Arabidopsis thaliana: one gene and its partner. The protein of the gene in region 1 binds, or shares a complex with, the protein of each later gene. Each region holds a gene or a part of one and is shown on either strand. Other genes may lie near its edges. The genes, in order: AT4G37280 and AT3G24880.

Region 1 (12,050 bases):
TACTCATCGTCGTCTCTGTCCACTGCTTTACAACACACACATGCAAAAAGAGAAAGGATTTGCTCACTGGTTTTTAGTTGTGTTTAAAAGAAAATGTATATGGGCTTTTAGTGGGCCTTTTTAGTCCTTTAATTTTCTCATTACAAATTTCATAACGTGAAACTGCAATATACTCACTAAACATGGTATAAAACTATAAATACTCGACATTATTACCAAAAAAAACAACTTTTATCTTCTTCATTTAAAAAAAGATTGTCGAAATTGGGTCCACTCAAAACATAGTGTGCATGAAGATTGAAGCTTTTCCATTTCCGGCTCCTATGGAAAGACAATAAATTATTTTTGAAATGTCCTTTTAATTCCCCAAAGGCCAACATTTCGAACAAATAAGAAAAGAATTAAAAGGTACAGCTGAAAAAACGTTTGCATCTCATCGAAATTCGATTTGCGACCACGTTTGATTATAATTTGCGACCACTTTTAATTCCAATTATGTGGTAAAACATGAACTAATCAATGTCTTCTTTATAATTAATCATGTGGTATCAACCTTACCAAAAAGGAAAAGAGATAATCATGTGGCTGTATATCATTTAAGTTGCACCAGAATGGCCGATAACATATCTCCTCAATCTATATTATTGACTCATATACAATTTGCATGGTTGATGGCTTAACGTAGATCTCAAAATTGAAATTTGTTAAACTAAAATAAATATCGATTAATGGGCACGTACTATAAATTGGTGTTTATGAGAAGGAAACCGACTATTGTATGATCAAAGAATATCACCCTTCTAAACTTTACATGGATCTTTAGCGACTGAATAAATATAATAATCTATAAAAAATGAAAAATATGATTCTATGACCTGAGCTAAACAAATATCGAAGTATAATGTTTTGTTTGGGTTCGTATTTTAGTGACCAGCACCTCTCCTGCTCGGTCCTGAAGCCATTGTATGCATCCTCTCCCCGGCCGATGAGAGCCACCTTAGCTTCTTATAACCATGTATCACGACCCCTAATAAGTCTTCACTTCGTAAATCGACCCCATGAATTTTAGATTGATCGATTTCCTCCGTCGAACCACCAAGGAGAACTCTGCAATCCGCGGTTCTTGATTCCGAAAAGGCCGAGACCAAGAACATGACCGTAAAGATCAAGCCAACCGGTCTCATTTTTTGGTGTGGTTGTTCGGTTCTTGAGGTTTAGGGTTTAAGACAATGAATGTGTTTTGGTGATTGATAGAAAAGGAGTAACAAAGGAGGAAGTAAAGCTTTATATACAAGTGTCAAAAGATTCAAAGGTAGATGAAAAAGGATGGAGAGGAAGGAAGATAGGAGTTTTCATTAGAATTAAAGTAATATAAAAAAAAAAACTAAAAAAATTGTTAGGGAATATAAAATGGAATAAGGTGTAGAATTAGACCCTCGATACAAGGGGATGGTGCAGGCGAATTAGTAAAAAAGGACGGTCTCTAGCTTCCTTGGAAATGGACCTTTCGAAAAGTGTTAATTGTTTTTTTTGACTAGCTAAATGTTTTTCTTAATAGCTTTAAATCTAAAGTATTATAGTTTGATTGAGAATATATATATGTATTTTGTTTTTGTTTTTACTGCTTAAAATATGAATACAAAATTCTGGCACACTATTAAATTATGGGATTTGTTTATGGCTTAAGATACACAATATTCCAATGAATCAATCTTCCAAATGACAATTCAAGTTGTAGTTGGTAATTTAAAAATCCTGACTTTTTGTTAGTGGAGTTAGGCAGGACTATATATACCAATATTTTCGGTATATGGTTTCATGATCAAAAACATTTATACCGACAAGGAGTTTAGTAATCACCACGTAAACTTTGCAATTGCCAAATGAGCCAAATGAAAGTACTAGACTACAAGTCTACAACTATTTGATTTCATATTTCTATCATTTGAAGTTTTATGTCAAACTAATATTGTAGAATTTTTTTTGAGCGGAGGCTTTCTTATTACAATGACTTAAGTTGATTACTTGATTTAACTCTACGGTCGTGGATCATCGACTCGGTTTTAACCTTTAGAAACTGGAAGAGTACTGATGAAGGTAGGGCACGAATGCGTAGAAGTGACGTAGGAGGAGGTAAGAGAAATAAAGTACGTATTTGTTTCTCACACTTTCGCGAATAATTTGATCGGAATAAATTTGACCATACGAATCCTCGAGACTTGTTCTGCATAGTGCATAGGAGAACGTTTTCATTGTATTGATCGATTTTTTTTTTTCTTTTTCTAATTAAGTTTTGAAGATTTGTGAATGGTAAGAACTAATGCATGATTTTTAGTACTGTGCAAAGAAATAAATAAGAAACACAAAGATCAAACAATGAGTCCTAAGAAGTGGAATTTTTAAACCAAAATCATACTAAATCATAACTCAACGATAATTAATAAATGAAAACTCTAGAATTTTTCAAAAAACGAACAAAACATAATTGTCATGTTGGTTCGTGGGCATGAGAAAAAGAAGGGAGATAACATAGACAGACAAATTCGGTGGTACTCACACAAAATACTTGTATGGACGGACGGACTCTAACTCTGCTTCATAGTTGTCATGATAACAATATTGGCATCTATCTTCTTCCTCTTTTTCCTTTTTGTTTTTAAACGTCACTTCCCCCACATGTATGATGTACCCTCAATTTTATTTCATTATCAATCTTGCATCTTCGAATCTTTTTTAAAAAAAATCGAGTTTGCAGAACTAAATCCATAATTATTTCTAATTTCGATTTTTTAATGTGAAATATTTAGTGGTCAAATATGAATATAAGTACTGTTTATGGACGAACCATGTGAACATATCATGTTTTCGATATACAAATTATGATATTGCATTGTGCAGTCACAATTTGGTTCTTTTGAGATGTTATAGTTGTATACTACCTTAATCCCTAGAGATACATATCTGCTATTTGAATGGATTAAAGATTTGCTTTTATATAGATTTAAGTAAATAATTGAAATTCTTTTGTCCAAAGATATTTGTTCAAGAATTATATTAATTTCATGTAATTGGAAGGAATACAAAAGACTGGAATCTTGATAATGAATTTATTAATGCAGAATTTGATTCCATTATTAATGGACTACCACGTCCGAACTATACATAGTTAAACATTTTTTCTTCTTGTATTATTCTGGCGTGGTCTTACGCCACTTATAAACTATATTATTTTGGCCAAACCAATATTTATAAAATCGAAATAAAACATTAAACCGGGTTTTAAGTACTTTGTTTGTATTATTCAATAATTGGTTATTAAACTAAGTTAATAATTTCAAAATAGTGATTTCACCTTAAAATATGGGAAAGAGTTTCCTGATGCTCTGGAATTTGGTTTCTTTGTCTTATACTCTAACTGCGGATAAAAAGGAGCGATTTTGCTATAAAAAGGAACAGTTTGAGATGATATTACACTTTATTCCGGTAAATTATTTGGCTACCATCAATAATATATTCTTCAAAACTATCAATCTTCCTTTTTTTTTAGAAAATAAATAAATTTCATCACAACTCTGTTTGAAAAATCGTTTATGAACTTGAGACGGAAAAATTATCATAATTCAACGTCATATAGCAGCAAGAGTTGAAATAAAAATTAATGGTTTTGTCTTTTCATAGGATAGATTTCTTATTTCTACCTAACAAAAACTAAAATTTGGATGTTGAATTTTGAGTAGTATAAAGTTTGGTTGTTCAATGTTTTTTGCAAGAAAAATCACGTGAGAAGGAACTATTTTTGGTCGTGCAAGAAAAATAACACCAAAGTGTTTGAACTTTTGAAGCATTGATGATTAGGTTTGGTGTATCTAACAATATTATAAAACAAACACATGAGATCCGACTCATAGTCAATTTAGCTTATGTCACTCCTTAAATCAGCTGGTTTAACCGAACCAGAAACCCTAACCAAATTTTTAAAAAAAATTCAAGTTATCTGATTTTAAATTTATTTTCTATATATAAAAAATTTGGCTGAAAGTTGAAACGAAACCAAAGCTAGAGATGTACATTTTCTAGTAAAGTAAAATAAAGTAAACAAATTCAATCTGAAACCAACAATATACCATAATATACTTACGAAAACCAAATCTAAACCGGCTAACGATATATGTGAGTGTGACTTTATATACGTTGCGAGTTTGAAATTCAAGCATTATTTTTGGTCTACACAACTACAAATCTACCTTAATATTTAGCTGCCGTCTGCTCCAAACAATGAAACTTCATGTTTGGTCTACGATATTAAATTCTTTATTTCTAATATTCAATTCCTTATCCTTTTCTTCATTGATGGCTTTCACTATTTTGTGTTCAATAAATACACACAAAATTGAATGCTCAAGAAACAAGTTGGTATTTTCCCAGGAAGCAGCATACTAACTAATTTCAATGATCACATTCTTTTCAATTCAAACTTAGTCAAGAATAAAAATTCAAACTTTGCATCTCCACGAACACTACTATATAGTCACATTCTCAACTCACAAAACACTCACAACAAAATTCATTATCTGCCAAAGAGAAAGAAAACCATATTTTTTATAAACAGAGTTAAATTGTTCTTAAACATGATGATGAACAAAAACGTTCTGAGTTCGATTCTGTTCTTCATGTTGATTGGTTCGGTTCTTGTCGAGAGTCGTCCGCTTGGTCTAACAAAGACCGAGGAGAAGTTCGTGGCTAGTTTATTCGATGGCTTATCACTTGGTTCGATCAAAGACTCAGGTCCAAGTCCAGGCGAGGGTCATAAGGTCGTGGACAGGAAGGATACGTTTCGATTTGTTAAGCACTCAGGTCCAAGCCCAAGCGGACCGGGCCACTAATGTTTCAATCTTTAGTTCAAACCGGGCCGGTTAAAGTGCCCATACCCATCTAGGTCGAGAAAATTATTTCATTTTTTTGTTCCAGTTTCATTAGTGGAAAATATTATACATGTCTCATGTTTCTGATCGATACATAGGAAGAAGAATGGCAAAAACAATAATTATTGTCTCATTTTTCTATATTTAGGATTATTGTTTTGTTAGTGAAATAAAGTTACTTGAAAAGTATACAAATAAAATGTATTAATCAATTTTTTTATATTTATTTGAATGTAATAATAGTTAATAAACATCAGTGTCCAAAGTGAAATATGAGTCCAACTGCTCAACGACCAATAAAGGCATAAATTTTTTTAAAAAGACAATGCTTTATAAATGGGCGACGAGTATATTTAAAAGGTTTAAGAGATTTAATCGAACTATTGTGAAAGTTAAGGGACTCAATTGAAAAACTATTCGCAACGATTCAGTCATTCAGCAGTTGTCGTAGATTCATTTATCTAGACGGTTAAAGGGGTGCCTTGTGATGTGAAGATCTTTGCCTCTCGCTCTCGCTTTCGGTGACAATGGGAAGCTCGTCGAAGGAAGAGACGGCGAGTGACGGAGATACGGCGAGCGGTGGCGCCTCACCGTCCAACGACGGCAGACTCTTCTCGGAGGGCGAGCGTGTTCTCGCTTACCATGGTCCTCGCGTCTACGGAGCCAAGGCAAATAAAAAACCTCTCTCTCTCTCTCTCTTTCTCTGTGCATCGTCAGATGTTCGCATAATTTGAATTCTAGAGATTATCTTGTTCGTGTTAATTTAGCAATTCTTGTATTTCACGTGGGTTTTGGTTGTATCCGACTACGGAATTAACTGGTTTCATTGAATTGAGATCTCTCTGCTAGATTTGGCTTAGGGGTTTCTTGGTAGATTTCGGTTTCAAGTTACGACGATCCGAAAGATGAACCCATTGAGATTGGATTCGAGTTTTCTTTTTTTGGTAATGGATTCATGTAGCATTAGAGCTTTTTAGATTGGAATGATCATAAATGCTTAGTCGTAATAGATGCAAAAGAATAATTCACTTGCCGTTGGAGCAAGGAATTCAATAAATTACTCGGAAAATAGGGCAAGCTAATCTACTTGCATGTTTATTTTTTCAATCATATATTATATAGGTCACTGGATTGAGTCTCATTCATATCAAATGTGTGTCGTTGTTATGCTAAATCTTCATAGTTTTGAAAAAAATCTGTTATTGCATAGTGTTTTCAGTGTGTGGGCAGACCTGATAGATTATTGACATTCCATTACAGGTTCAAAAGGTCGAGCTTCGGAAAAAGGAGTGGAAATACTTTGTGCACTATCTTGTGAGGCCTCCTTCTTCTGAGCTATTATAGTTTCATTATCCTGTTTCATGTACTAGCTATTTTCATTTTGGTTTGCAGTAATAAGTGATACAGCGATCTTTGTCTGCAGGGTTGGAACAAAAAGTGAGTATCTCTCTCTGCTCTCATGTCGATTCTGGTTTATGTAGCAAAATCAGTAGATTGGGACCCATGACATGATTGTCTTGCCAACAGTTGGGATGAATGGGTTAGTGCGGATAGATTGTTGAAACATACCGAGGAGAATCTTGTCAAACAGAAAGCTCTAGACAAAAAGCAAGGAGTTGAAAAAGGTACCAAGTCTGGCCGTTCCGCTCAGACAAAAACTAGAAGCTCTGCAGGTGAGTTGTTGCCTCCACATTGACCATGCTGAGAGTACATGATACATATTTTGGTCATCCAGGCTAAGAAACTAACTATTTCTTTCTGATCTTGCACTTGCAGACACAAAGGCTGATAAAGATGACACCAAGACCAATGGTAGGCAACATATTAATTTACGCTCCCTTTGTAGTTCAGGGTTCTCCCAACAATTTCCAAGGAAATGATTTGGTAGACTGGGTGCAACTTAAATTATTTAAGCTGGTGTATAGATGATTACATTTTCTGTTGCAGCTGCAAAAGGGAAGAAACGAAAGCACGAGTCAGGCAATGAGGTCAGGCTTGCAAAAACTTAGAGATGTATTTGGTTCATACCTGTTAGGTCTTTGTTAAGATTATATTTTACAGTACAATAGATGGCTGATGTGTTGTTATGCATATACACACATACGAAAAGGGTCAATTTTTCAGGTCTTCTAATATCGATAAGGTTTTTGTTTTCATTTGTAATCTATAGAAGGATAATGTAACGGCGGAGAAGCTAATGAAGATCCAAATTCCCGCATCACTTAAAAAGCAACTCACTGACGACTGGGAGTATATTGCGCAGAAGGACAAGGTATCATCAATTTTCTCTATTTTGTGCACATACTTTTAGCACTATTAGAATTGTTATTGAATCAGCTAGACTTGAAAGTTAAGAGACATAAGTGTGTATTTGTAGTCGAATGAATTGTGTATACCAAAGTGAAGGGAAATTGATGTTTGGTAATCTGTCTTCAAATGATTATATAGGTTGTGAAACTTCCTCGTTCACCTAACGTCGATGAGATATTGTCCAAGTACCTTGAATTCAAAACCAAGAAGGATGGAATGTGAGTCTTTTACTCGAACACAGAGTTTGATATATTTGAATCTTTTCCGAAATCCAACGATACAAAATTTTGTGTTTCTGTTTTTGTGCAGGGTAACTGATTCGGTCGCTGAAATATTGAAAGGCATAAGGAGTTATTTCGACAAGGCATTGCCAGTGATGCTCCTATATAAGAAAGAGAGGCGACAATACCAAGAATCAATCGTGGATGATACTTCACCTTCAACTGTTTATGGCGCCGAGCATTTGCTCCGTCTCTTTGGTAAAATCTCATTAAGTTCTTATTTGGACAGTAAAATTCGATGTTCTGAAATTTTATTTTTGCTTTTTTTAAAAATCTGCAGTCAAGTTGCCAGATCTTTTTTCATATGTAAACATGGAAGAAGAAACATGGAGTCGCATGCAACAAACATTATCAGACTTCCTCAAGTATATATCTAATCTCTCTGTTTCATCACTACCATTTTGATTTCTCGGTTTTAACGGTTAAATTCACAATTTCTGGAAAAAAATCTTTACAGGTTTATTCAGAAGAATCAGAGCACTTTCTTGCTACCATCAGCATATGATTCTGATAAGGTTTCAGATGGTAAAGGCAAAGGAAAAGACGACTGACATCTCCAGGAAAAAAATATTGTTGTAATTTAGAATTCCTTCATTTTTCTGATGAATTCATAATTGTAAGATTTGCAGCTGAATATGAAATATTTTACAGGCCTTTGAAGTTAACTATTTGGTTCATGTAAATTTCTTTAAGTGGTCAATAAAACATCCGGAACAATGGAACCTTGGTTGGTAGAAGGCAACAAAAAAAATGGAAAAAATAAAAAAGTGTATGAGATGAGATTATTTATGTGGCTAATGTCATCGGAATAATTACATTGGTTCTCCTTCTCTGTTATTATTCTTTCATCTTTTTCACCAAGACGAACGACTCTTACACGCAGAGTTCGCGAGATCAGAATCAATGGTGGCATGAAAAACGACGCTTGAGCTCAAATTCGTCGACCATGGAACCTGCAACTCTTACTCGTTCTTCCTCTCTTACTAGATTCCCTTATCGTCGTGGTTTATCCACTCTCCGACTCGCTCGAGTCAACTCGTTCTCAATTCTTCCACCTAAAACTCTTCTCCGTCAAAAACCGCTTCGTATCTCTGCTTCCCTTAATCTTCCACCACGGTCGATTCGTCTACGTGCTGTCGAAGATCACCATCACGATCATCATCACGATGACGAGCAAGATCATCACAACCACCATCATCATCACCATCAACACGGATGCTGTTCTGTGGAATTGAAAGCGGAGAGTAAGCCTCAGAAGATGTTGTTCGGATTCGCTAAAGCTATCGGATGGGTTAGATTGGCCAATTACCTCAGAGAGCATCTTCATCTTTGCTGCTCCGCCGCTGCAATGTTCCTCGCTGCCGCCGTCTGTCCTTACCTTGCTCCTGAACCTTACATTAAGTCTCTTCAGAACGCATTCATGATTGTTGGTTTTCCTCTTGTTGGAGTAAGGTTTTCTATAGCCTTCTCTATAAAGCTCCTTGCTAGTTTTATAATTTAGCCAGATGATTTAGTAATTTAGCTTTATGGTCATCGATGTTGTTAGGTTTCAGCATCTCTCGACGCACTTATGGATATAGCTGGAGGAAAAGTGAACATCCATGTCTTGATGGCACTTGCGGCTTTTGCATCTGTGTTTATGGGAAATGCTTTGGAAGGAGGATTGCTTCTAGCTATGTTCAATCTTGCTCATATTGGTTAGAACTTGACCTTAATAAGGATTAGGGATATGTCATTGTTAATGTTTATCATGACGGAGAGGTTTGAGCTTTTGTCTTGTCATTTTTCTGCAGCTGAGGAGTTCTTTACTAGTCGATCAATGGTGGATGTCAAAGAATTGAAAGAGAGTAATCCAGATTCTGCATTGTTGATCGAAGTACACAATGGCAATGTTCCAAATATATCTGATTTGTCATACAAAAGCGTTCCTGTGCACAGCGTAGAAGTTGGATCCTATGTTTTGGTTGGAACTGGTGAGGTCTGTGAAACTTTTCTATTTGCTTTCATTACTTGAATTTCTTAAACATGTGACCCTGTATGTCATTAGTTTAGTTTTAGCAGGGTTACAATTGCAGCTGTTAAGTAATGGAATTTTTTTTTCCATTTAGATTGTGCCTGTAGATTGCGAAGTCTATCAAGGTAGTGCTACAATTACAATTGAGCACTTGACTGGGGAAGTCAAGCCGTTGGAGGCAAAAGCTGGAGATAGAGTGCCTGGTGGTGCAAGAAATTTGGATGGCAGAATGATTGTAAAGGTATTTTTTATCCTATTCTCATTGCTTTGGCTTGTCTCTTTATTTGAAATCCTCATGCTTATCTCAATCCATGGAATTTCTAAATCAGGCTACAAAGGCATGGAATGATTCGACGCTTAACAAGATTGTACAGCTGACCGAGGAAGCACATTCTAATAAACCCAAACTTCAGAGATGGCTGGATGAGTTTGGCGAGAATTACAGCAAGGTTGTCGTTGTTTTGTCACTTGCAATTGCCTTCCTAGGTCCATTTTTGTTCAAGTGGCCTTTTCTCAGCACCGCAGGTAAGATGTCAGGATCAAGTTCTCCCTTCTTAACATTACCATAAATCATTGTTGATGTGACAAACTATTCTTGTTGTTTAATAAGATATATCACCATTTGGACAATTGATAAGAGTGGAAAATTGATTGGCTTACTTTCATTGCTTGTTAATGATGCAGCATGTAGAGGATCTGTTTACAGAGCATTGGGACTTATGGTGGCCGCATCACCATGTGCTCTGGCCGTAGCTCCATTGGCTTATGCTACTGCTATTAGTTCCTGTGCAAGAAAGGTATTGTTCAAGTACTCTACGTGATCACCAAGTGTATGTTAGCTTTCTTGGCGTTGTGATGTTTTGCAGAATTGCACTTTTGAGCATTGGTTTGTATATGTTCTCTTGTAGCAAATTAAGCTTTATAAGCTAAATAATCTTATGTGCATCAAATGTCAATGGTGAGGAATGAATGGTGCATATGCAACAACATCGTCTTATCTATGAAGACCACCATATTTCAACTAACTATTTGATATCATTTTCCTTTTGTCCAAATCCAGTTGAAAACATGGTTTATTTTCTTTTTCCTTTTTTTTTGCTATGTAAAGGTAGTATCTTCACGTGTAAGTGTGTAACCCCACCGTGTGTAACTATTATAGGGAATATTGCTGAAAGGTGCACAGGTTCTAGATGCTCTTGCGTCTTGCCATACTATTGCTTTTGACAAAACTGGTACCTTAACAACCGGCGGCCTTACTTGTAAAGCAATTGAACCCATTTATGGGCACCAAGGAGGAACTAATTCAAGTGTAATAACTTGCTGCATTCCAAATTGTGAAAAAGAAGCTCTTGCAGTTGCGGCTGCCATGGAGAAGGGCACCACGCATCCTATTGGAAGGTATTGCTTGTTTAGCATCAATTACTAGTATAAAACTTAATTACCACAAACTCTAAAACCATGCAAGTTGTGACCTATGTGCATCCCATCATCACATAGTTAGTACTGTGGCGCGTCTATAACTCATGGGAAATAAGTTATCTTGTTGGATGGTACATTCATTTCAGGAGATATGTTGACGTAAAGAATTTTAGTCCTACATCTAGAACTTATTCTTATTTCTAGTTCATTACCACAATCGGATGAAAGGAAGGGGAAAAAGCAAATTTGAACGCTATGAAGCTCTCTATCTCTGGTTTTTACACTGGTTTTTACACTGGTTTATTAGTTTAAATGATGCTTGGTCTGGTAAGAGATTGAGACTGAAGAGTACTATAGGTCTTTTCTGCTGTTTCTGACACATTTCATCTTGCTGCAGAGCTGTTGTAGATCACAGTGTGGGTAAGGATCTTCCTTCTATTTTTGTTGAAAGCTTCGAATATTTTCCTGGTAGAGGCCTTACTGCTACTGTCAACGGTGTTAAGGTGAGACTCAGTTATTTACTAGATTCTTATATATATCCATTTATCTACCAGATTTTATAGTGTATAGCTGTGGGTGATGTGTGTACATCTCTGGCTTTCATTCTTAATATATATGATGTTGTCTCTCACCACATTTTTTGGTTTTGTAATAGACAGTAGCTGAAGAGAGTAGATTACGAAAAGCATCACTTGGTTCTATAGAGTTCATTACCTCACTTTTCAAATCTGAAGATGAATCTAAACAGATCAAGGATGCTGTAAACGCGTCTTCGTACGGAAAGGACTTCGTTCATGCTGCTCTTTCTGTTGATCAAAAGGTATACTACGACTACTTCTTTAGCTGGTCTAAAAACCTCTTTCCTACTTCACAGTCTGTGATTTTCATCTCTCATCTGACCATTTATTAGTCCATAAAAACCTCTGTAACACTGAAATTTATGAGCCTTGCAACTAAATTTTGTCAGGTAACATTGATTCACCTCGAAGATCAGCCTCGTCCAGGGGTGTCAGGAGTTATAGCAGAACTTAAAAGCTGGGCCAGACTCCGAGTAATGATGTTAACTGGGGACCATGATTCAAGTGCTTGGAGAGTTGCAAACGC
Region 2 (17,325 bases), on another chromosome or scaffold:
TTGCCGACGAAATCATATCGAAAACTTTTCTTTCTCTCTGAAAAATAAAGGAGAGAGAAGAGAGAGAGAAAAGTTCTCAGTCAAAAATATACATAATATATGTCAATTATTTTTAGTTTTTGCACCCCTTTCATTTTTCTATTGTATTTTATGCATGGTTATTAAATTTTTTCAATTCTTTCCATTTTGTTAATTATATATGAATTTTCATTTTTGGTTTTCTTCCTAACTCTATATTAAATTATTTCCTAATATATAATGTTTTGACTTTTTTCCTAACTCTATATAATGCGAATTTAGATAGACATAAAAGTTTATTAAGTGTAAACTAATCTATACATTTTGGTAAATAAATATTTTAGAAATTAAAAATAATATCATCATACGATTTTATCACCAGTATTAGAAGAAAATAAAATAGAATAGGATAAAACTACATGCATGTATACATATGTGATTACTCATGTATTTTACACAAAGAGTAAAGCATTTCTAAAAATTACATATATTTTTGCTGAAAAACTATTTATATAATTCACGAAATCTACAACAATCATGAAAATATTCTTAGTTTTATTTTATTTATTTTAAAAAAACCATAGTAATACATAAAATGATTTTCTTTTTAAGATTAACGGTTTTCCCACGGTCACAATATCAGTTGGTAATTTGTAGTAGGATCTTGCCTCACCCCTATGGCCCTATTATCTGACGCTGTAACTCGCAAGTGTGCTCATGATCCTCCAATGGAGAAAATCATTCAAGTAAAAGAAAAATGAAACTATCATCTTCTTCATCATTTTCAAATCCTCTTTACCGCATATCTTCTAATCGGTTTAACGATCTTTTGTTAGCTAAAACTATCATCTTCCCCATTATCTGACCACTTTCACTTTGCCTCGTTACCATACCAACTTCGAAATTTGATACTCGACAAACAAATCAAAACAACGCCAATTCTTCTTCGTCAAAGCACGTCGGGCTACGAAATGTCTCCAATAATCAAACGTATCCAATATGTTTGTCCTTATGCTAATTTTATTTATGTGATTTTGAACATATATATGAGAACTTTCAAAGTGATGTGGTTCCAATCCAAATTATACTTAAGAAAAATTATCTAACGTGGACTTCACTTCTCCAAGCCCGAATACAAAGACGACTTCACTTACCTCTAACTTCTTCCAAGTCAATTTGTGCTCCACTATGCAAAACTACTTCCTATCTTTATTTATACCAATCTTCTCTCTCACATTTCTTATATCAAAAACCTTTCTTTCTTACAAAGCTGTTTTCATCATGTCTGAATTGCTTTTCCGTTTGAATTTTCTCTTGCTACTCTTACTCTCTTGTGTCTCCTTGGCTTCAAGCTTCTTCTCTTTTAATGACCCGGTTGTTGGTCTTGGTGCTTGTGGTCCCCACCAGATTCAAGCCTTTACGCAGTTCAAAAACGAGTTTGATACTCATGCTTGCAACCATAGTGACTCCTTGAATGGGGTGTGGTGCGATAACTCCACGGGCGCGGTCATGAAGCTACGACTCAGGGCCTGTCTCAGTGGAACTCTAAAATCTAACAGTAGCCTCTTCCAGTTTCATCAGCTTCGTCACCTTTATCTCTCTTACAACAACTTCACCCCCTCTTCAATCCCTTCCGAGTTTGGAATGCTCAACAAATTAGAGGTTTTGTTTATGTCTACTGGTGGCTTCCTAGGCCAAGTTCCTTCCTCTTTTAGTAACCTAAGCATGCTTTCCGCTTTACTCCTCCACCATAACGAGCTCACTGGTAGTTTATCGTTTGTGCGGAATTTACGCAAGCTCACAATTTTAGATGTTTCTCATAATCACTTTTCTGGAACTCTTAATCCCAACAGTAGCCTCTTTGAGTTGCACAACCTCGCTTACCTTGATCTCGGTTCTAACAACTTCACCTCCTCTTCACTCCCTTATGAATTTGGTAATCTCAACAAACTAGAGTTATTGGATGTTAGCTCTAATAGCTTCTTCGGTCAAGTTCCCCCCACAATTAGTAACCTCACCCAGTTAACCGAGTTGTACCTTCCCTTGAACGACTTCACTGGTAGTCTTCCGCTTGTACAAAATCTAACCAAGCTCTCCATTCTACATCTTTCTGATAATCACTTCTCTGGAACCATCCCTTCTTCTCTCTTCACTATGCCTTTCTTATCCTATCTTGATTTAGGTGGAAACAATCTCAGTGGTTCTATTGAAGTTCCTAACTCCTCTTTGTCGTCAAGGCTAGAGAATTTGAACCTAGGTGAAAACCATTTTGAAGGAAAAATCATAGAGCCTATCTCAAAGCTTATCAACCTCAAAGAGCTCCACCTTTCTTTCCTAAACACAAGCTACCCAATTAATTTGAAACTCTTCTCCTCTCTCAAATATTTGTTGCTCCTCGATCTTTCCGGTGGTTGGATATCTCAGGCTAGTTTAAGTTTGGATTCATACATTCCATCGACCTTGGAAGCATTACTCTTGAAACACTGCAACATCAGTGTTTTCCCAAACATCTTAAAGACCCTTCCGAATTTGGAGTTTATTGCCTTATCAACCAATAAAATCAGTGGGAAAATCCCAGAGTGGTTATGGAGCCTTCCTCGTCTGAGCTCAGTTTTCATTGAAGAAAATTTGTTTACTGGCTTCGAAGGTTCATCAGAAATTTTAGTAAATTCATCTGTACGGATCTTAAATTTGCTGTCAAACAATTTAGAAGGAGCACTTCCACATCTACCGCTCTCTGTCAACTACTTCTCTGCAAGAAACAATAGATACGGAGGCGACATACCTCTTTCAATCTGCAGTAGAAGGTCACTTGTTTTCCTTGATCTAAGCTACAACAACTTCACCGGTCCAATTCCTCCATGTCCAAGTAACTTCTTGATTTTGAATCTCCGGAAGAACAACTTGGAAGGAAGTATTCCAGACACTTATTATGCCGATGCACCTCTACGGTCACTCGACGTTGGCTACAATCGATTAACAGGAAAGCTTCCAAGGTCTCTTCTAAATTGCTCAGCTCTACAGTTTCTAAGTGTGGACCACAACGGAATCAAAGATACATTTCCTTTCTCCCTTAAGGCTTTACCGAAATTGCAAGTCCTTATTCTCCATTCAAACAACTTCTATGGTCCTCTATCTCCTCCTAATCAAGGCTCTCTGGGTTTTCCTGAGCTGCGGATACTTGAGATAGCTGGTAATAAATTCACTGGTAGCTTGCCCCCAGATTTTTTTGAGAATTGGAAAGCATCATCACTCACGATGAATGAAGATCAAGGTCTATATATGGTATATAACAAGGTTGTTTACGGGACCTATTACTTCACCTCTCTGGAAGCTATAGATTTACAATATAAAGGTCTGTCTATGGAGCAAAATAGGGTCCTTAGTTCCTCAGCGACCATTGATTTTTCTGGAAATAGACTTGAAGGAGAAATTCCTGAATCTATTGGTCTCTTAAAGGCACTGATCGCACTCAACTTATCGAACAACGCCTTCACAGGCCATATTCCTCTGTCTTTGGCCAATCTTAAGAAGATCGAGTCACTAGACCTATCAAGTAACCAACTCTCAGGGACAATTCCTAATGGAATAGGGACTCTCTCGTTTTTGGCATACATGAACGTGTCTCACAACCAACTCAACGGTGAAATACCACAAGGAACACAGATAACTGGGCAACCTAAATCGTCATTTGAAGGAAATGCAGGGCTTTGTGGTTTGCCTCTTCAAGAAAGTTGCTTTGGGACTAACGCACCACCAGCACAACATCCTAAAGAAGAAGAAGAAGAGGAAGAAGAAGAGGAACAAGTGTTGAATTGGAAAGGCGTGGGAATAGGGTATGGGGTTGGTGTGTTACTTGGATTGGCAATAGCACAACTCATTGCTTCATACAAACCGGAGTGGCTAGTTTTTCTGTTTCAGAGCAGAAACCATTAAGATCTTTTGGTTATGAATTTGATCGTTTATGTCAAGTTGTTGTTGCCTGTTGGTATTGTATTGAAGTATTTCCTAACGTTTGTTGTATCTTTATCTGATGTTTTTGTTTCTATAAAGTAAGAATGGTGAATTCTCATTAGATGTTGTTTCTTTTCCTAATAAAAAGAGTAGCAGAACTCAAAATTGGGTTTTAGATTACAAGAAACCATATCATCACAAAGACCTAATCTAGATATTTGCAAATCCCAGCAGCTTAACATATTCATACCCTAAAGGATCATAAATCAGTACTAAGTCATCATATTTCATTATCCCTAACAAAATTTATGAAAAAGAGATCGCAAAAACAGAATGAAGAAAGAAGGGCATATACCTCGGGTACAGTTTCCCATCAATTTAGTAGAGCAATGTGGGCATTATAATTCGTCAACGTAATCTTCTTCTTCTTTCAGTTATTAAGACAAACCTAGACGAAGATGTACCAAGGACTATGAGCTTAAACTTCATGTTCTGAAACCACATCTTTCTTGTAATTTTCGTTCCTGGCGTTATGATATCTTCTTGACCCTGTAGATATCAGAACTGGAAATATAAGAGCGTGACAACTAGAAAGGAGATATATTGTATCAAAAAGCTCACATATGAGGGAAAAGGTAAGTTACTATACTTTGAACGAAGGTCCACTAGAATTTTAATTTTCTCACTGCGGTCAAGAGCCTGCAAGTTAATGAATTACATAAACCTCAGTCAGTTTCGCATAAGTGGGAAAAAACAGAGAAAATTCAAGTCATATATTCTCAAATGAATGATATAAAATTATGAGATTGACATGGATATATGATTCAGACCTTCTCAATGTTCTCCATCATAACACCTTTCATTTTGGTCACTAGAGCCTTAACCTTGGCAAGTTTGCTAATCTCCTCGGGATGAGCCAAAAGTACCAAAACTCTTTGTTCAAGCTGTTGGGTTAAGTAGTTGTAGCCATTCCTATCCACCACCATATCTCTTGTTGAAATCCTCTTAAACTCGCTCCAAGAATGCCATTGGAATCTGCCGAAACAACGCAATAGGCTGCACAAAAAGAAAAGAATCTATTGTCATGTCCATGGAAAAATATGAGAGAATTATAAACAAAGGACACTAAATACGAAAAAGAAACTGTATAGTATTGCTCATATATCACCTAAGTTCAAATACAAGAGGCAAAGCAAGCTAAAGACATAACTACATTCAACAGTTTCACTTCCGTTTAAGCAAAGACTCAAGTCAATTACAATTGCCTTCTAAATTCTCACAAACAAGCCAATAATACATAAGCTGAATGGAATCAGAACACCAAGAAACATATATCATGATAAATCCAAACGAGAGATACATCAATAAGTAAAATAAGAAAAGTCTCATCAATCAATGGAAACCTTAACAGAAGAAGAACCAAGTCATAAATATACAAATGAATGAGCAAATGAGCAAAGAGATCCAGTGAAATCAATTGCAACACGAACACGAATATACATCTAAGTCTACCACATAGATCGAAACTAGGCTTTCAAGAGGGCGAAATCGAAACTCATATATACGAAAAACCAGGAAAAAAGAGAACATGTTCGGTTTGAGAAGGGAGAAGGGAGACTCACTGAAGCCATTTTCGACATTTGTTGTAGGAAAATTGGTATCGGAGAAGGAAGCTTCTTCTGGCAACACTGTGCAGTGACGGCAGTAAAATTCCCTTTTTGCAGAAGGCAAAAAAAATTACTTCTTTTTTTCCAACTCGAAATTTTTACTTTGGCTGTAAATAGTAAAATTGTTTTTGAGGAATTTAAAATGGTTACATCATTTACATGTTGAGGTATACTTGAGGAATTTGTGAGGAATTGTTCATGTTTAAGAGTTTTATTTTTGTTTTTAAGTTGTTTCATAAATTAATAAAATTATTATTCTTAGAACTAAACAACGCAATAGGCTGCACAAAAAGAAAAGAATCTATTGTCATGTCCATGGAAAATATGAGAGAAGACTTCCACTAGAAGTTGTTAGTAAGGAAAATTCTAAACAGAAAAAAATAGTTTAAATTTTATTTTAAAAGTAAAAATTAGTAGTTTATTTTATTAGTTTATGCGTTTATATAATATTTCTATTTGATAAAAAATAAGATTAAATGTATTACATTCTTAATATTTTGTAATTTGTAACTTTTTACAAATTAAGTTACTATCTTATGTTTAATAAAATTATTAAATTATAGAAAATTTCAAGTTTAATATTTTTTCATATGTTTTATTTGGTATTAGTCTCTTAGATTTCTAAACCCGAACCCAAAAAACCCGGACTCGATCCGAATTGCCTATGGACAACGTGGGACAAATATAGTTTTACAAAACCAGCGACATGCCTGAGATTTGTAGAGATCCATGTCACACAACATGAAACTGTTATAACTTTATTACTACAAAAAGGCCCGAAACAAGACCAAGCAAACAAAAAGAAAGGCCTTGTTTGGTCAAAATCTCAGGCCCAGAATTCGGAGAGAGAGAGAGAGAGTCGCATACTGCGTCGAGGAGAGAGAGAGAGAGAGAAAGAACGAAAAAAAAACATCAACGAGAACTCAATTTTTTTTTTTATCTCCCGAGAGGGAAACCAAAATTGAAAACGAAAAATAGCTGAATTAGGAATCAATCTCGCAACAAGCAAGCAATTTCCATGGATTCCTTGTTTTGGGAGGAGCTTCTTCTCTTCTACTCTCTGAGAAATTGATTCTCGTCTTTCGATTTGAAAGAAAAGCTTATAAGAATTTGGAAGCCCTAGGAGAGAGAAACTAATTTTAGAATTTGGTGATTTTGCCCGAGTTTTGTGCCCTAGCTTTTTGCCTTCGTTCTGTTCTGTTCTACGTTCAATTTCCAGGTTTAACTCTCTTCTCCTTCACTCTTCTATTCAAACCCTAGAGTCCAGCTTTGCTGGAGCTTCTGTGATTTTGAACCCAGTGCTTCTTTTATCAGGAATGTGAATTGTTTGCTGAAATTGTGTCTCTGTAGTTCTTTGTTTCTACTCGTTTAGCTTGGAAATGCTCAATACTTGATTCAAGAGTTCGTAGGCACGCCATTAAGTAGCTTAAGCTGATCATTTTCTAACTTTGGTTCCTAGTAATCGTTGTTAGTGTTGGATTAAGCTTCTAGAACCTCTCTGCCTTGAGGCAACATTTCATTTCTTTGGTATCTTAGAGTTCTATTCTATCTCTGTTATGCTGGAATACGTAGTTGTGAGCTTCTCGGGGATCAGAATGGTATTGGCGTTAGATATATAGAATTCTCAGTCAAATACTAGATTCTGGGGAGTTATCTTCACTTTGATGTTCCTTTGGATAGTGGCTAGAGTATATGAGTGAATGTTGTTTTACTTTTGACATCTTCTGAGCAGTTACATCTTGAATCTGATAAGCTACTCTATTATATGATATCATATGGTACTGCTTTTTGCATCATGAGAACATACATTTTACCAGTGTTATTTGTAGGTCCAACATTTAGGTGTAACTGATTCTAACTTCTGCAGTATGATCATTCGGAATGCTGTAAATACTGAAAGCTCTTGATATAATTTTTCAGTTAAGCTAGAATTCGAATTGATGGGGTATTCGACGTGGTGATGCATGGAAGCGTTTCAGGATATCTTCTAGTAAATGCTGAGGTTGATTCCATGGGAGGAGTTATCGATAGTGGAGGTGGTATTGGTGTTAAAACATCTCCGCGCCGAACAGCTATTGAGAAGGCTCAAGCGGAGCTAAGGTATTTCAGATTGAGACATCTTGATCTTCTGCAGTGTGTTTAAATGCTCTATAATTTCTACAGCTTTCTATTATTTCCAATGTGTAACAAAGATGCTTATTTCAACAGGCAAGAGTATGATGTTCGTGAGGAAAGGAGGAGAGAATTGGAGTTTCTAGAGAAAGTATGAATACCTATTTCCCTGTTCTATAATTGTTTTGTGTGTGTGTGTGTAAGAACTTATGATGACAAGCCTTTACTCTTCTATCTGCTTCAGGGCGGTAATCCCTTGGATTTCAAGTTTGGTATTGCAACTTCACATAGCGTCCAATCTACATCACTCACAGATCAGCAAGCAGAGCATTTTGTAAACAGGTACATTCGTGTTTGGTGTAGTTCCCACATTAATTTCATGGAATAACTCATCATTATTTGCCCATAACCCCCACAGTGAAGTCAAAGATAGTTTTGCCCTGACTGCCTCACCACATGGTGACTCGGTGGAGAGTAGCGGTAGACCTGGAGTTCCTACAATTTCTGAACCCAATACAGCAGATAATCTTTTACTGTTTGATTCTGAAAACAAGTCAGTTGAAGGGGAAAGAAATTTGAGACATCCTAATAGGCAAAACAGAACTTCTGAGTCAGAACGATCTTCCAAAGCACACACCAACCAGAATACCAAAGAAACAGAAGATTCTGCCATCTTTCGCCCGTATGCTCGGAGGAACAGATCGAAGATAAGTCGGGATCCAGCACGGTCAAGCTCTACGGATTTAGTTCAGAATCGTGGTGGTCTTGCAACGTCTATATCTATTCGCAGAGGATCAGTGGAAGGAAAGGGTTGCATTCCCGAAGCAGCCAATCAAAAGGATATGCATACAACTTCTGTATCTTGTCCAGTATTTGCAAATTCAAATGGTAATATCGTTCCGAAAAATAGAGTTTCCAGCAATTCGCTGAATACTAAGGTGGATGGTGAACCTGTTGTACGAGAGAGTACTGCTGGATCCAAGACTAGTCTATTGAAAGATGAAGCCGACATTTCGTATAGTAAAAGCTCTGCATATTTGCCAGTTGGAGAGTCTGGCCTTGCTGGGGAGAAGGCACAACTAGTTTCGACTGGTGGTTCTCCCAAAGCTGCAACAATAGCTGGCCAGAAAAATAGTTCTACCCAACTGAATGGCCTAAGAGATTCCACGGTAGAGGAAGAAAGCTTAACAAATAGAGGAGCTACAGGGACTAATGGGTTAGAGTCAGAGTCTTCTCATGCGAACAACGTAGAAGTAAATGTAGATAATGAAAGAGATCTTTATAAAGTGGACAAACTTGACTCTGATGAAATCTCTATGCAGAAGACTTTGAGAGTAGAGGGGTTACTAGATCAAACAGTTGGTGAAATGACCAAAACTAAGATTGAAGATGAGACAGGTCAATCTACCACCATTATCAGTGAGTGCATTCCTGAATGTGAAATGCAGATGAAATCGGTTAAAATTGAAAATCAAAGTCACAGAAGTACAGCTGAGATGCAAACTAAGGAGAAAAGTTCCGAGACTGAGAAAAGGCTTCAAGATGGGTTGGTTGTACTCGAAAATGACAGTAAAGTTGGTAGTATTTTATCTGAAAATCCTAGCAGCACGTTGTGCTCTGGAATTCCTCAGGCATCTGTAGACACAAGTTCTTGCACAGTTGGCAATAGTTTATTGTCAGGAACTGACATTGAAGCATTAAAACATCAGCCGAGCTCAGATGCAGTTATGTTAGATACTGTCAAGGAGGACGCTATTCTTGAGGAGGCCCGGATTATACAGGTTTTCTTTTTAATCTTGACTTGATGATTTTTAGCTATCTAGTTTTCGTAGAAGTTATGATGTTATGTACCTACTCATCTTTTTATGTATGACATAATACATTAACAGGCAAAGAAAAAAAGAATTGCCGAATTATCTTGTGGTACTGCACCAGTGGAGGTCCGTGAGAAATCTCAATGGGATTTTGTCCTCGAAGAAATGGCATGGCTGGCAAATGATTTTGCGCAGGTCTGGTCTAGTTAAATTATCTTTCTAACATAAATTCTATATATCTGCATGGAAAATGCTGCATTTTGTGGATTTTTGTTCTGTTTATTTACTACGGCGTCTGGTCATTCGTCTTCTTAAATGAGCTTGTCCACTTTTATGTTACTGGAACATTTTTCCGTGACTGTTCTAATTGCATTCTGTTACCTTTTTTCTTTTCATCTTCTAGGAGCGCCTTTGGAAAATGACTGCTGCCGCACAAATTTGCCATCGAGTTGCTTTGACTTGTCAGTTGAGATTTGAGGAACGAAATCAGCACAGAAAGCTGAAAAAAATAGCTTCAGTCCTATCTAATGCTATCTTACAATTCTGGAGTTCTGTGGAGGCCGAGGTTCCTGGGGAGCTGGAGGAGACGAGCTTGGGAATTGTTAAGGTATTTGACTGTCTGACCTCTTTTATGGTTTTTGATGACAATGATGATCATATGGTTCTTTCCTTTTCTTTTAAATTAGAATTATGCATATATATATACATTCGTTGAATTAAAGTATTGACAACACTGACATTCTGAGAAACCATATTATTATGTTTGTGACTAGACTGCAAAACAACACAATTCTACTGATATTTCCTTCTTATGATTGAGAAGCCTGATCTTTCTTATTTGCTTGAATTGTCTTTGATAATTACCTACAGGAGTCTCTGGTTCTGTCGCTCCTTATGTTATGATTTTTGTAAAATTTAATGGTATCATACTAAATAATACCTTGGTTGTATGCAGGAGACTTGCCAAGAATCTAATTGTTTGAATGGCAGAAGATGTTTAGCTGCGGGTGTCAAGGAATATGCAAGTAGATTTTTGAAGTACAACAACTCTTCCATCTCCTATCATTCAGCTGCACCGTCAACACCTGACAATATGTGCGACCCAGAAATATTGGATATATCTATGGTTGATCAGCTTACAGAAGTATGAATTTCTGAAAAGATTTTCCGCAGCCTCAGTTGAACACTATTGTTGTGGATAGTTCTACATTATTGCTAATTGAGCTTTATTACTGTGCAGGCAAGCCTCTTTTATTCAGTTCCATCTGGTGCAATGGAGGTGTACCTTAAGTCCATTGAGTCGCATCTTACACGTTGTGAGGTATGTGAGATTGTTCTATGCTAGGAGCTCGCATATTGTAACCTTGATGGCGTATATTTTCCTGAGAATATATATCTGTTCTCCAAAGATATTTAACAGTATTTCTCTGTTCCCAGAAGTCTGGAAGTAGCATGCAGGAGGAGGTTGATACATCAGCCTATGATACTGCTGGAGGTATGCACAATTCTGGGTTGTTTGAGCTTCGCGGGTTGGTTAAATTTTTGCTAATTTTTTATCTCTAATTGTAGATATAGGATATAATGTTACTGCGTTCGATGAGGATGAAGGAGAAACAAGTACCTATTATCTTCCGGGAGCTTTCGAGTCTAGCAGATCATTTAATATAAGCCACAAAAAAAGGAAGAATCTGATGAAGTCTCATTCTGCCCGGTCATATGATCTTGGGGACGATTTACCATACGTCAACAACACAGGTGGCTCTAACTCATCAAGTTTGATGGCAAAAAGGCCTGACAGTAATATTAATGCCGGCTCAGTTCCAACAAGGCGAGTGCGCACTGCTTCCAGGCAGAGGGTTGTGAGTCCTTTTGGGTGTGCTACTACTGGGAATTTACCAGTGCCCTCGAAGACAGATGCGTCTAGTGGGGATACTAGTTCTTTCCAGGATGAGTATAGTAGTTTGCATGGTGGATCGGCAGTCCAAAAAGGCACAGAGGTTGAGTCAAGTGTTAACTTTGAAAAGCTGTTACCTTATGACATGGCTGAAACCTCAGGAAGACCTAAAAAGAAAAAGAAGACTCATCAGGTAGTTAGAAATATCAGCATATCTCTTACTATTTGCAGAAAATAGTTGCTATTAGTTTTAGTTGACATTGGATTGCAATTTTCAATTTCATTTGTTGCAGGGCTCCGCATATGACCAAACTTGGCATCTCGATCCGTCAGTCCATGTTGAACAGGTGAATTCATGATAAAATCCTAAGAATCAATTTGAACAAATGTTTAGGGAAAGGCGAGTTTAGGTGGTGTGAATTAATCAATATTATTGCTTGACTAGCTTGATAAAATAATTTTTGCCTCTTGCTTAACTGGTTTGATGCTTGAGTCCTACTCTTTGGATTAAAAACAAAGTTATATTTTGTTTCCATTTTAATCTTGAGGAGGTGACTATTAAACAGTTTCCTATTATTTGAAATGAGAACTTTAAGTTATATAGTTGGTAAATGTTTACCATTTAGTAGTAATTGACTTCTTAGAAAGGATTCTAATTCATCCTTATTTGGGCAGAAGGACCACTGGAAGAAGCGACCAGAGAATAATTTCGATATGAATGGTATTATTTGCAAATTCATTTTTTACTTTGTGGTGCATTGTAGTTCTTCAGCGGCTGGGGGATCCTCAGCCTCTGCCTGTATAAATTAAACAATACTCCTAGAGGATATCATGTTTTAAGCAGCATTTTTACGTACATCTTATCATTAACCACCAATTATACAACTTAAGCAATGATAATCGTTTATAATTCTGTGACATATTTTAATTATTTTTTGTAAGGTCTGTATGGTCCTCATAGTGCAAAGAAGCAAAAGACCACCAAGCAATTGGTAGAGAATAATTTTGATATGGCTATTCCTCACACTGGATCGATTCCTTCTCCGGCTGCTTCCCAGATGAGCAATATGTCCAACCCCAACAAATCTATCAAATTTATTGGAGGTCGTGATAGGGGCAGAAAAATAAAAGGCCTGAAGGTATGCTCTTGAAGGTTTACTAACTCCATTCACTTTGTTTAAAATATCTGTTTTAAACTAGAATTTTGTTTTTCTCAGATTTCTCCTGGTCAGCATGGTTCTGGAAATCCATGGTCACTATTTGAGGATCAGGTTTTTTATTCGTCATCTTTCATTAACATCGATGTACTGTTGGTTGCTTTATGAGTATCTAATTTATCTTTTTCTACCATATAGGCGCTTGTTGTCCTGGTGCATGATATGGGCCCTAACTGGGAGCTCATTAGTGATGCAATGAACAGCACTCTTAAAATTAAGGTAAGTGCCTGTTGTTTTGAAAAATCTTGGGATTCTTTCTTTGGTACCTTTCGAACTGAGTGGCAGAGCTATAATTCAATAGTTTTTTTTTTTCTATTCTAGTGAATGGTTGTGTTGGATATTGTTGTCCAGGTTATTGCTTTCTCGTATCAGTGAACAACTGGTATTTGTTACTGGCTGATTGATTTTTCCACTGTTTCTCCAGTGTATATATCGCAATCCGACTGAGTGCAAGGACCGGCATAAGATTCTGATGGATAAAACTGCTGGTGATGGGGCTGATAGTGCAGAAGATTCAGGGAATTCTCAGTCTTATCCATCCACTTTGCCTGGCATCCCAAAGGTTTTTCTATAGCTCTGAGATGGTGAACAAAGTGTCTTCTATGCTTAAACTAATTTAAATGCCCCGGATATGTCTGTGATATTCAGGGAAGTGCGAGACAGTTGTTTCAACGACTGCAAGGGCCAATGGAGGAAGATACCCTGAAGTCTCATTTTGAGAAGATTTGTTTGATTGGGAAGAAATTACATTATAGAAAGACACAGGTTAGTTCACCTACTACTTTGTTACTGTTTCCAAGCTTGTAACCTAAAACTAGTGGATTTCTTTCTGCATTTTTTGGCTAGTCATAATTCAACTGTTGCCTGGAAATAGGGATAGTTCGTTGTGTATGTACTGTGTAGTATACTAGCATCAAGGAGATGATATGTTGGGTGATGGTAGTCCAAATTTTAGTTTTTGAGTCCCTTGTGGGCAGAATGCTAAATGGTTCTTATAGTGCCAGAGAGTGTTATCGGGGTTTCTGTGGTTTCTTTTGTTCACGGAATTCAGTTTTCAAGTTGCACTGGAGCTGGTAAATGTTTTTGCTTATAGATATGGAATTTGAGAAGATAGGTTTGCTTAATTCAGTTTTTAATTTGCATAAAGTTTATGGTATGAAAGGCATATCTCAATCACTCGACATACCAGGTCTGCATGTTTCTAAGTATAGCTGCAAATCTTGGCTAGGATTTCCTGAAGTCACATTGTAGTTTGAAGTATGAATCTACTAAGGCCCTAAATCTGTTTTCTTGTTGCTGCTTGTGTATTCTTGTGACTGTTTCATCTATCTTCAAGAATGATGGTCGGGATTCCAAGCAAATAGTACCAGTTCACAATTCACAAGTCATGGCTCTCTCTCAAGTATTCCCGAATAATCTGAATGGAGGTGTTCTTACGTAAGTTCTGTTGTTTCCTTGTATTCACATACATCTTGACTTCTACTCTTGCAAATTCTAATATTTTGCTACTCTCCGGATGAAGGCCCCTTGATGTCTGTGACGCATCAACTTCAGGTCAAGATGTATTTTCACTTGAAAATCCAGGTCTTCCAATGTTGAATCAGGGAACGCCAGTGCTCCCTACTTCTGGAGCACATCCATCCACTCCTGGATCATCTGGTGTTGTTCTGAGCAACAATTTGCCAACCACATCTGGCCTACAGAGTGCTTCTGTCAGGTAGAGCTTTTACTGAATGATTTGTTTTGGTGAATGCACACGTCTGTGAATCTCCGCTCAATTTACTTGAGGGTTATTACTTCTTTTGATTGTTGATATATTTTTTTCTTTGTAGGGATGGTAGATTCAATGTTCCTAGAGGGTCTTTGCCACTTGATGAACAACACCGACTACAACAATTTAATCAAACGTTATCTGGTAGAAACCTGCAGCAGCCCTCCTTATCAACTCCTGCAGCTGTCTCAGGATCTGATCGTGGACATCGCATGGTTCCTGGTGGAAATGCTATGGGTGTAAGTGGAATGAACAGGAACACACCCATGTCAAGGCCTGGTTTTCAAGGGATGGCCTCATCAGCAATGCCAAATACTGGTAGTATGCTTTCCTCTGGCATGGTAGAAATTCCAAACACTGGAAATATTCATTCCGGAGGAGGAGCTTCTCAAGGAAACTCCATGATCAGGCCTCGTGAAGCTGTGCAGCATATGATGCGGGTAAGCTACTTGGATTTTGTTTACTGCTACGCTAATTATTACACTTCGTTTTACGATTTCTCACATGTGGGAACTTAACTATCTATTTCTTACTTCACAACCTGGACTTATTTATCTCGCTCTTTGTTTTAGTTTGTAGACGTTCAGCGCTTCTAATTTTTGTCAACCGCTGGTCGATTGTCATTTTGAAACTCGTTGACAACATTACGACCTCTACAGTGGTGATAAAAACTGATATTCATGAGTTTCAGATGCAGGCTGCTCAAGGGAACAGTCCGGGGATCCCAGCTTTCAGTAATTTGAGTTCTGGATTTACCAACCAGACAACTCCTGTTCAGGCGTACCCAGGCCATCTTTCCCAGCAGCATCAGATGTCACCGCAGTCACATGTGCTTGGCAACTCGCATCATCCTCATCTCCAGAGCCCAAGTCAAGCCACTGGGGCACAGCAAGAAGCATTTGCTATCCGTCAAAGACAAATTCACCAGAGGTATTTGCAGCAACAGCAACAGCAACAGCAGTTTCCAGCATCTGGTTCTATGATGCCACATGTACAACAACCTCAGGGCTCTTCTGTTTCTTCTTCTCCACAAAACAGTCCTCAGACTCAACCACCTGTTTCGCCCCAGCCATTATCCATGCCCCCGGTGTCGCCCTCTCCTAATATTAATGCTATGGCACAACAGAAACCTCAAAAATCTCAGTTGGCGCTTCATGGTTTGGGTAGGAGTCCTCAGTCTGGTACTTCTGGAGTGAACAATCAAGCTGGAAAACAAAGGCAGCGACAACTTCAGCAGTCTGCAAGACAGCATCCACACCAGCGGCAGCCAACACAAGGTCAACAGCTGAATAAACAACTGAAGGGGATGGGTAGAGGCAACATGATCCATCAGAACATCACTGTTGATCAGTCACACCTGAATGGCCTTACCATGCCCCAAGGAAACCAGGCTACTGAAAAAGGAGAGATAGCGGTTCCAGTTAGGCCTGATCAGCAGTCTAGTGTGGGGACTACCACGAGCACGAATCTGCAGTCTAAACCATTTGTTTCTCCCTTGTCTTCAAATCATTCACAGCAACTGCCAAAATCATTCCCTGGTGCTTTGCCTCCATCCCCTCAACAACAGATGCAATTACATTCAGACAATAGCATCCAAGGCCAGAGCTCACCTGCGACCCCATGTAATATTTTATCCACCTCTAGCCCGTCAATTGCACCAGCGGTTGCACCTTCTAACCATCAGCATTTGTTGATACACCAAAAGCAGCGCAATCAAGTGCAATCAACAGCTCAGCGAGTTGTTCAACATAATCATCTAGGGAACTCTGAGTTATCAAAGAAGTCCCAAGCTGAACGCATGCCACGTGTTCCACAGTCTGTAACCAATACTACCCAAACTGTTAGTATGGGTACGACCAAGGGTATGCCTCAAGCGAGTAATGATTTGAAAAACATAAAAGCAGTTGGTTCTACTGCGGTGCCTGCTTTGGAACCTCCATCTTGTGTTGCTTCTGTGCAAATCACTGCTTCGAAAGTAGTAAACAGTTCCAATACAGATTCAGCAGGAAATGATCCAGTATCAACACCGAACCAAGGACTAGCTCAAAAGCACGGGATCAAGGGCGTTACACAGAGACAACAACAGTCTCTACCTTCAGAAGAAAAGAGACCGAAATTGCCAGAGAAGCCGACTGTACAAAATCAGAAACACCTTGCTTCTGAGGAGCAGCCTCATTTAGAAGAAGCACAAGAATTATCATCTTCCAAGCCTCCTGATACAAAAGTGGAATGAGAGGCATGACAGATGAACCTAGAACCTTGAGTAGCTGTAGATCCTGCAAAGCTTAACGCTGGCCCTTACCGACAACAACCCTGTACAGGAACCCAAACTGGTTTGTGTCCTCCACCTTCAGAGTCGGGTCTCTTTTTGGCATTAACATCTTGAAGCTGCTGGTGGTCTTTGGATTTGGCTGAGAGTATAACATAACAAACTCTACAGATTGTGGAGTTTGCAGATTTGGTAAGGCCAGAGGGAGATCAATAGGGAAGAAGTTGGTGGATAGGATAAAATTCATGCAGGTCTTTTTGCCTCTTTTGATGAACACAAAGAGAAGAAGGTATATCATAATGTAAATTACCCACTTGCATCATAGAGAAGTAGTCTCTTCTTCTTCCCATCTTTTGGTTTGGGAGAGAGTAGAAACAGTTTATAATGTTTTGTATAGAAGTCTCTACTCCTCCATCCTTGTGGCATATACTTAGGGCCCTTTTTTAACCTTTTCCTCTAACTTATTCTCTTGTAGGTTTAGGTTAATTTGATGAATGTATCATTGTTCTTTTATGGTTAAAAAAAAAGTTCACTTCACTCCCATAAACATTAGCTTACATAGTGCATTTCTTCAAATCCGTTACCTATGTTACAAATCTAAAAGCAACA

Evidence for each region.
Region 2: AT4G37280 (region 1) and AT3G24880 share a complex: the UniProt entries of both Arabidopsis thaliana proteins name them as parts of the nuA4 histone acetyltransferase complex.

What each region holds. Positions count from the first base shown.
Region 1 is NC_003075.7:17,542,762-17,554,811, reverse strand, and holds AT4G37280 (MRG family protein), read left to right. Parts: upstream 1-5,252; 5' UTR 5,253-5,449; coding exon 5,450-5,590; intron 5,591-6,182; coding exon 6,183-6,236; intron 6,237-6,345; coding exon 6,346-6,359; intron 6,360-6,449; coding exon 6,450-6,595; intron 6,596-6,698; coding exon 6,699-6,734; intron 6,735-6,869; coding exon 6,870-6,910; intron 6,911-7,092; coding exon 7,093-7,194; intron 7,195-7,370; coding exon 7,371-7,450; intron 7,451-7,541; coding exon 7,542-7,711; intron 7,712-7,793; coding exon 7,794-7,878; intron 7,879-7,970; coding exon 7,971-8,064; 3' UTR 8,065-8,235; downstream 8,236-12,050. Other genes in the region: MEE59 (maternal effect embryo arrest 59), read right to left, coding at 1-7; AT4G37295 (uncharacterized protein), read right to left, coding at 924-1,184; AT4G37290 (uncharacterized protein), read left to right, coding at 4,629-4,883; HMA1 (heavy metal atpase 1), read left to right, coding at 8,460-8,960, 9,060-9,210, 9,307-9,491, 9,622-9,768, 9,857-10,052, 10,212-10,324, 10,687-10,925, 11,344-11,449 and 2 more. UniProt on the Arabidopsis thaliana protein: Chromatin remodeling factor. Acts as a 'reader' protein by binding to H3K36me3 and H3K36me3 to control histone H4 acetylation. Increases the transcriptional levels of the flowering time genes FLC and FT.
Region 2 is NC_003074.8:9,085,812-9,103,136, reverse strand, and holds AT3G24880 (Helicase/SANT-associated, DNA binding protein), read left to right. Parts: upstream 1-7,599; coding exon 7,600-7,739; intron 7,740-7,847; coding exon 7,848-7,902; intron 7,903-7,995; coding exon 7,996-8,093; intron 8,094-8,169; coding exon 8,170-9,532; intron 9,533-9,640; coding exon 9,641-9,760; intron 9,761-9,968; coding exon 9,969-10,172; intron 10,173-10,520; coding exon 10,521-10,709; intron 10,710-10,805; coding exon 10,806-10,886; intron 10,887-11,002; coding exon 11,003-11,060; intron 11,061-11,134; coding exon 11,135-11,652; intron 11,653-11,752; coding exon 11,753-11,806; intron 11,807-12,134; coding exon 12,135-12,180; intron 12,181-12,401; coding exon 12,402-12,598; intron 12,599-12,676; coding exon 12,677-12,730; intron 12,731-12,814; coding exon 12,815-12,895; intron 12,896-13,100; coding exon 13,101-13,238; intron 13,239-13,324; coding exon 13,325-13,441; intron 13,442-13,682; coding exon 13,683-13,749; intron 13,750-13,838; coding exon 13,839-13,915; intron 13,916-14,012; coding exon 14,013-14,113; and 8 more. Other genes in the region: RLP39 (receptor like protein 39), read left to right, coding at 1,207-3,954; VAMP728 (vesicle-associated membrane protein 728), read right to left, coding at 4,381-4,521, 4,594-4,671, 4,803-4,958. UniProt on the Arabidopsis thaliana protein: Component of the NuA4 histone acetyltransferase complex which is involved in transcriptional activation of selected genes principally by acetylation of nucleosomal histone H4 and H2A.